Lepisosteus oculatus: one gene and its partner. Each later gene encodes a partner of the first gene's protein in a complex. Links are inferred from orthologs where the notes say so. Each region holds a gene or a part of one and is shown on either strand. Other genes may lie near its edges.

Region 1 (3,752 bases):
GTGCATACGTCATTCGTGTTACAAAGCCGTCAGTACTGAAGGTAAAAAGAAAACACGACGAGGATTCCTCCCTTCATTAGCTCCTGCACACCAACAAGAAACTGCCAGTGACATTACACTCAGAAAGAAATGGACTCTTCTCGCCCTGTGGATAGGTTTTGTTGTATTCTACAGAAGGTAGGACACTAAAGGTCCTACAGTTACAGTAAATTGTACTGTTTACTATATATAAGCCCAATGACTTATATAAAAACACTTAATATTATTCTGAAAAATACTTCATAGAAATTCTGACATGCTCATGCAAGTTCAGCCTATTTATGCACATAAGCTCCTCCACTTCTAAGCTCTCAAACTGATTTATCTGATTGTGAGTAACAAAAGGGACTGCTTTCTGCATACTCCGGAAAACGGTACTTCCCCTGCAGAAACAGGCGGTGCGAAAGTCAGAATAAGAGACGCACCCATCCCGACTGAAAACACGAATCCAGGCCTGGACGTTAGGCCCCAGGATGCAGAGACAGCGCAGGGTGGTGAATGTGGACAGCAGGACAGCAAAGGAAAAGGTTTCAAGCGCAGACCTGGAAAAGAGAACACATATCCTAGCAAGGCACACCCTGTCCTTGCAAGAAAATAGGTCTTTATTTCACTTATGCAAAGTGCTATGATTTGTGGGTAAAACACCCTGCTCTTGGTCCAGGAATGTGTGTCAATTCAGTCAGGAATATTACACCCGCTGCTCAGACAATATTTAAGACACTCTAAAAGGGTTTGGATTAGTTTCAAGCTGGGATCCGGTGGGGCACTTCAGACCTCAGCAATTACTTTTCCTAAACAAATCTCAGTCACACCAGCAGGATGCAATGAAACAAGAGAAAGACTTTCAAAAACATCACTGACTATTTGACTCATATGTCCTGATGTGAAACATGAACAGGCAGAGCATTTTAGTAACAGGACAAACTATTCCTAGTGACTTGTTGTTAAGTACTTACTCCAGCAAAGGTGCTCCATACAGGACAACAACTGTGTGGAACAGGAAGCAGGATAATATGAAATACAGGCAGGACCTGAAGGCTTTAGACACCTATGGATAAGACCAAACAGGTTTAATAATTACCCACTATATCTTTATAGTGTTTGCTGGCTCGGTTACCACAAAATGATATATGTGGAGACCAATGCAATTCAATGGACAAGCATACAGAAAACCACTCAAAGCTTCTAGTCCCTATATCAACTATAAGTGCAGAGTATTTTTATTCATATAGTTAATCTCTAGATTCATATATACCAGTTATTCTAGTGTTACTTCCATTTTAAAATTAAACTGCATTAACTGAATTAAAGGTACTTTAAAAAGATAACTGAAAACATTTAAAAGTTGTATTGGGTTGTGCAATACCTGTGAAAGCAGGCTGATTCTGCAAAGAGAAGAAAGTCTCCCTCAGACCTCACCTTGTAACTCAGAGTATTCTTCTTAGATGGTGGACTGATGCCCAGCAGCCAATAGACAGTGATGTTAACAGCAGCCACAGCTCCAGAGACAGAATACAGCCACACAAGGTGTGTGCCATAGACTGAAAACCCATCCACAAACAGAAGGGGCAGTACTGTGGCCATCAGGACAGAAGCTGCCATGATGGTATGGGCAGAAATCATTCCCTTGATCTCAATATCCTTCATGGTGATCCTAGGTGATTCCAGGCTGGAAAACAAGCACGCAATACTACCAACTTCAGGATACTTAAATCAGTTCAGGTCTGGGGAATATCAGGAGTTTAAGACTGCTTGCTAAGGTACAACACTCAATAGTAACATCCAAAAACAGCTGACAAAGGCCTCTGTATAGTGTTGGCTATCTGTACTCAAGAAGACACGTGGTCACCTGATTTCAGTTCCATCTGTGTTCTCAATTTTGTCAGAAATTATTATTTCCTTAAAACTCTAATACAGCTGCGTAAAGAAAACTTCCAGTGCAGAGGACACAAACTCAACTTGGGTTTTCGGAGCTGCGAATTCTTACTGTATACAAGCAATCACCAGGTTCTGTATATTAGCTAAGTGTTTGTACCTTAGTTTATCTAAATCTGCGTAGAAAAGGTAAAAATATTTAAATGTCGTTGGTACAAAAGATCGGACATTTTCAAAATCAATTTTAATGTAAAAAAGAATAAAACTGCTTTACACCACGTCTATATCCGTTGAGGGATTTGTGATCAGCCAAGAGTAGCTGAAGACGGGCGGCCAAGGCAAACCTGACTACAAGTTTCTGTCTCAAACCGTCACAGTGTTCAGAAACTTAACATACACGGGGAACCCTTTTGTAGAGGTCTGGCGTCTCCTACAGGAGCTGCAACTTTTCAAAAGTTATATTTCATCTTTAGCATTCTTCCAAGCCCCGGTAAATCATCAAGTATCAAATCTCTACCGTTCCAATTAAACTTAAAACTGCAAAAAACTATGCACTGCGTAAGAAACTGCAGACATTATGCCTATAAAACTGAATAATCAACAAGAGAAAATAGGATCGTAATTATATTTTAAGAAATGGCTTACCCTCTAGATGGACGGATTGTTGCTATATAATATCATTCAACGTTGGAAAAAAATAATAAACTACTATATACATCAAGCGAATGAAAAAAATCTGAATTATTCTCAAGAACACGTAGCCTCTAAAAGGTGTTTTTCCATTTTTTTAGTCGTGGTGCACAAATGCACGACAATAGCCCACAACAGTATCATTCATACCTGATTTCCGTATGAAATATATTCTGCGCAAGGTCAGTACAGCGTAAACAAGGACGTGGGGGGTGTCACGGCGTGTTTTGCTTGACGTACATTTTGCCCAATCAAACAGTTGCTTCATACCGATTCCCAATCGCCATCCGAGTGGGCGGGGATAAAGTCTAAGGTCACTACCCACAAACCCTGGGAAAATGCAAAATATTACGGCAGACTAGCCGGAAGGAGTAAATTCTTTTTGAGACGCATAAACACCCATATATTTTATGTGTTTACTATAATATGTAGAGTTCAGTAGTTTATTTCTGCCATGTCAGTGGACGTCGTAAAGCCGGTGGTACAGGAATGACGCAAAGAGGGGGTTAATTACAGTCGAGGTGCATTTATTTAGTTTGAAGTATACAGTACGCACTCTTTCTGAACGGAAGGACGAGACGGGAAGTTGTCACACGGCTCTGGCACCGGCAGAGCAGATAGTTTGTTTTCCTTTTCTCCGCTGTAGGTGGATTGATTTTCTTTTTTTCTCGTTTTAAGAGAGGAGAAAGATGGTTTGTGAGAAGTGTAAGTGGTTTCGTGACTTTGTTATAGTTGTCTCTGAATACAGGTCGCACTGATCATCTCTCCGTGATAATCGTAATAATCGCCAACACTGGGACGTTGCTTCGCTGTTTACAATTTGTGCCGCAGTGGAAATGCTAGAAAAAATAGTCACATAACCAGTATATCCATTCATTTTTAATGTGAGGCAATTGCGATTGTATACTATTTTCTTCATTTCTTTTAGTTTCCTTTGTACTAGGCGTTTGTAGGTATTACTGGCAGACGTCCTGTCGTGTGATCTTAAACGAAGAGACGGCGACTCCGCTGTTCATCTCTGGCTGAAACTCTTTGTAATTTGCAGGTGAAAAGAAACTCGGCCGTGTCATCACTCCGGATACATGGAAAGATGGAGCCAGAAACACAACAGGTACCCTAACTAATGCACTACGCTACACGTAAGCAAA
Region 2 (3,752 bases), on another chromosome or scaffold:
GCAGAGGTCCATGGTGAGCAGTGCCTCCAAGAGACCAAACAAAGGGCATTGTGCTGGTGTTGTTTCTGAAGCTTATATATTATGTAATGTCTCAACATTTTTTATTATTAAAAATAAATTAAGGTGAAACAGTTTGTGGTATATTTCTGATACAAATGAAGCTGTGCAGCTTTGTTAGCTGCACAAGACCTTAAGAGGCATAATTAGGTTATTAATGGATAGGTAGAGATTGAATTCATGATTAAGAGAAGACAGGGAAGGATGCATACAGACGCAACTCTCGTGGAACCTAGATAAATGTATTAATTAAAATCCTCTGAAAGGCATAAAAACTAGGAGATAAAAGGTTCTCCATTAATTTTGTTTGATATCCTTGCCTTATAGTAATTCCAAGGAAGAATTATAATAAATGTGCTCGCTAAAACAAACGTTCTATCGAACACTCCATACTATTGTATCATATTTGATTTATTTAATACAAAATTTGTATTAAATATCCTTTTTCAACTGAATGCCACTTAGCCAACGACAGCGAAACATGATGTCTTGGTATTTATGCAGTGAATACTGTTAATAATAATAATTGCTTACACTTATATATTGCTTTTCTGGACACTCCGCTCAAAGTGCTTTACAGGTAATGGGGATCCCCTCCACCACCAACAATTTGTAACCCCCACTTGGATGATGCAACGGCAGCCATAGTGCGCCAGAACACTCACCACACATCAGCTATCAGTGGGGAGGAGAACCGGGTGATGAAGCCAATTCATAGATGGGAATTATTAGGAGGCCATGATTGGTAAAGGCCTATGGGAAATTTGGCTAGGACACCAGAGTTACACTCCTACTCTTTTTGAGAAATGCCCTGGGATTTTTAATGACCACAGAGAGTGGTCGGCACCTTTTAACTGTATAGTGTCCCCATCACTGGGGCATTAGGACCCACATAGACCGCAGGGTGAGCGCCCCCTGCTAGCTGCACTAACACCACTTCCCAGCAGCAACCTTAGTTTCTCCCAGGAGGTCTCCCATCCAGGTACTGTCCAGGCTCCCACCTGTTTTGCTTCAGTGGGCTGCCAGTTGTGAGTTGCAGGGTGATATGGCTGCTAGAAACGTATTTATTTCCCAGTCAAATCGTAATTTGTAATCGCTAGTGTTTCGAAATCGGCGAAACCTTCTCTAAACTCCTTCAAATCCAGACTCAAAACCCTCCTTTTCAGAAAAGCCTTTACTTAACTGCTTCCATTCTTCACCCCTCTGCTCTTCTTAATACCATCTTCCACGGTCTCCTCTATTGTTATTGTTGTATTGTTGTAATTATAATTGTGTCCTGTCTTGTGAAATTTTCTTATTTATTGTTGTAGTCTTCTTATTTATTGTTATTGTCATCCTGTAAAGTGCTTTGAGAAGCCACCTTTAAAGGCGCTATATAAAATAAAGTTTATTATTATTATTATTATTATTATTATTATCCACTTAAAGTGCATCCATTTCAATTATCGACAGTGCCCCCCGACACCGAAGTTGTCATTACCCTTCCGCGACACTAGGTGGCAGAGTTCATATCTGTCGCTCCCAGCAAGCAGCATCCGTGTGTGACGTCAGTTGGTACGTTTGTTGTTCTTCTGCGTGGTACTTCCTGAATCGGAAGGGTTAGCCGGTACACGCTTTCTCCGTGTGTCTGAGTGAATGAAGGGAGGTGGGGCGGGAGGCTGGGCAGAGTTACCTGATTCCCTATCTTTTCTACAGGGGCCGGGTTTATGAAGGTGTACGACTGACCCTGAACGAGGGCGAAGGAGGGATTGTTTTGGGAAGGAGGCATACCTGCAAGGTCAGTTTGAAGGCGGGTGGGCTGAATAGATTCCAAAGCTACAGGTAAGGTAAAGATAAAGAGAGCAAAAGAAAATAGCAAGATTTTCTATTTCAAAGATTTTGGTATGCCCAGGATAGGTTGTGTATTTTTGGGTTGGATCTACTGTAGTTTGATTTTTTTTAACCTGGGATCATTATTCTTATATCTGTCCAGTTGATGCTGTTGTGCAATAGTTCAGCATTTTGTGTGGTCAACAGGAGTTAATAAAACACGCTTATTTCTTTATGAATGCGTTATGTCTTGTAAGTGAACAAATACGTGGTTGAGCTTTGTAGCTCGGTGGTTTAAGCAGTTTTTTCCCCCGTTTTCAGATACAAGTAATATTTTAGTACTAACAGACGAAGCAGTTGTTGTACCCGATTCTGTAGAGTGCAATTTCTTCATTTGACATTCATCAACACATAAACAGTTAATATAAAGCTGCGATGTTAAAAAAGAGCTCATTTTTTCTTGTGGCTATCAGAAGCACAGAGTCTTAACTGTGGCAATTTAAATACATTAAATGTTTCGCGCAGAAGTATGAAAGAATGATCAAATAGAACAAGAATTTGAGTTTTACATGATCAAACAGAGTTACCGTCTTTGTAGCCAAACCTTATCAGATTTCAGAAGCTGAGCAAGGATATGTCTGGTCAGCACGGGGTTGGGGACCAGCGTTTCCCAGTGACTAAGGACACTGTGCTACAGGAGGTGTTCTGTGAGTAAAATCACTACCTAACCACTGGTGATTATATAGACTGGTTTGTGAGAGCATGGATCTTAACCCAGAATTTCTCAGATCAGTCTGGCCAGTCTATGATGTCCCCATAAAAAAATCAGTGAAGAGGCATCTGCTGCAAAATGGCTGCCATGTGTCACCCAGAGGGTACTCAATTATTAGTGTATTTGAGAAGCCACCTTTAAAGGTGCTATATAAAATAAAGTTTTTTTATTATTTTTATTATTTATTGATGTGGTTATCGGCTGATTGACAAGGTGGGTTGACCGCCATCTGAGATCCGTCATATCTAGTTACTTCCCAAATAGAAGCTTTGAAACAATCTCGGTTCTGTCTAATTTGTGGCTTCCGTCGTTTATTTAAGCCACGTTAATCGCAGGTAGCCTTAAATCTGACGGAAAGAAAGATGTAGGTGGGCAAATATGAATCAGCCTGGGCTCCAAAGGCGAGGGCCAGCTCTTTATCCTCCTCCTCCTCCTCCAGTCTGAGTAAGGTGCGTTGCCGTTTGGGAAATACTCCAGTCTGCAAGATTCACTGTTAATATTCTAAGACCTTGTTGACAGCACTCAAAAATAAAACGCGTGACCCCACCCCCCCCCACCTCTCTGTCCCTCCCCCAGGGTGAATCTTTGATGATTTTTTGCGGAGCCGCAGGCAGGACCTCCCAACCCGCCTGAGACTGAAAATCCCCCCCCTCTTCCCGCAGGATGAGGAGGGCACCCGTGCTGGCTCTCCTGCTCTGGGTGTGCGCGCTCTTCTGCGTGGGCATCGCCCTGTTTCTGGGGGGCTTCCTGCTGGTGAGGGTGGAGGTGAGCCGGAGCAGCTCCTGCGCGGACGCGCTCTCCCCGGGAGCCCCCCGCGGGGGCTTCTGCGAGGGGGCGCCGCGCTTCCGCAGGGCGGTGCTCCTCGTGCTGGACGCGCTCTCCTTCGCGTTCGCCCGCCACGACCCCCGCCGGGCGGCCCCCCGGCCCTGCGAGAACAAGCTGGGCGTGCTGAGCGAGCTGGCGGCCGCGCGGCCGGCTCACGCCCGGCTGTACCCCTTCAGGGCCGACCCCCCCACCACCACCATGCAGAGGATCAAGGGCTTCACCACCGGCTCCCTGCCCACCTTCGTGGACGTGGGCAACAACTTCGCCTCCAGCGCCATCCTGGAAGATA

What was found. The genes of interacting proteins can lie anywhere in the genome.
Region 2: pigf (region 1) and pigo share a complex: the UniProt entries of both Homo sapiens proteins name them as parts of the ethanolamine phosphate transferase 3 complex. The link is inferred for Lepisosteus oculatus from reciprocal best matches to the Homo sapiens genes PIGF and PIGO.

What each region holds. Positions count from the first base shown.
Region 1 is NC_090712.1:13,355,988-13,359,739, reverse strand, and holds the start of pigf (phosphatidylinositol-glycan biosynthesis class F protein), read right to left. Parts: upstream 2,837-3,752; 5' UTR 2,755-2,836; intron 2,749-2,754; exon of another isoform or gene 2,560-2,748; intron 1,709-2,559; 5' UTR 1,687-1,708; coding exon 1,459-1,686; intron 1,088-1,458; coding exon 996-1,087; intron 582-995; coding exon 465-581; intron 1-464. Other genes in the region: cript (cysteine-rich PDZ-binding protein), read left to right, coding at 3,294-3,309, 3,650-3,715.
Region 2 is NC_090698.1:67,287,280-67,291,031, reverse strand, and holds the start of pigo (GPI ethanolamine phosphate transferase 3), read left to right. Parts: upstream 1-1,637; 5' UTR 1,638-1,878; intron 1,879-3,300; 5' UTR 3,301-3,301; coding exon 3,302-3,752.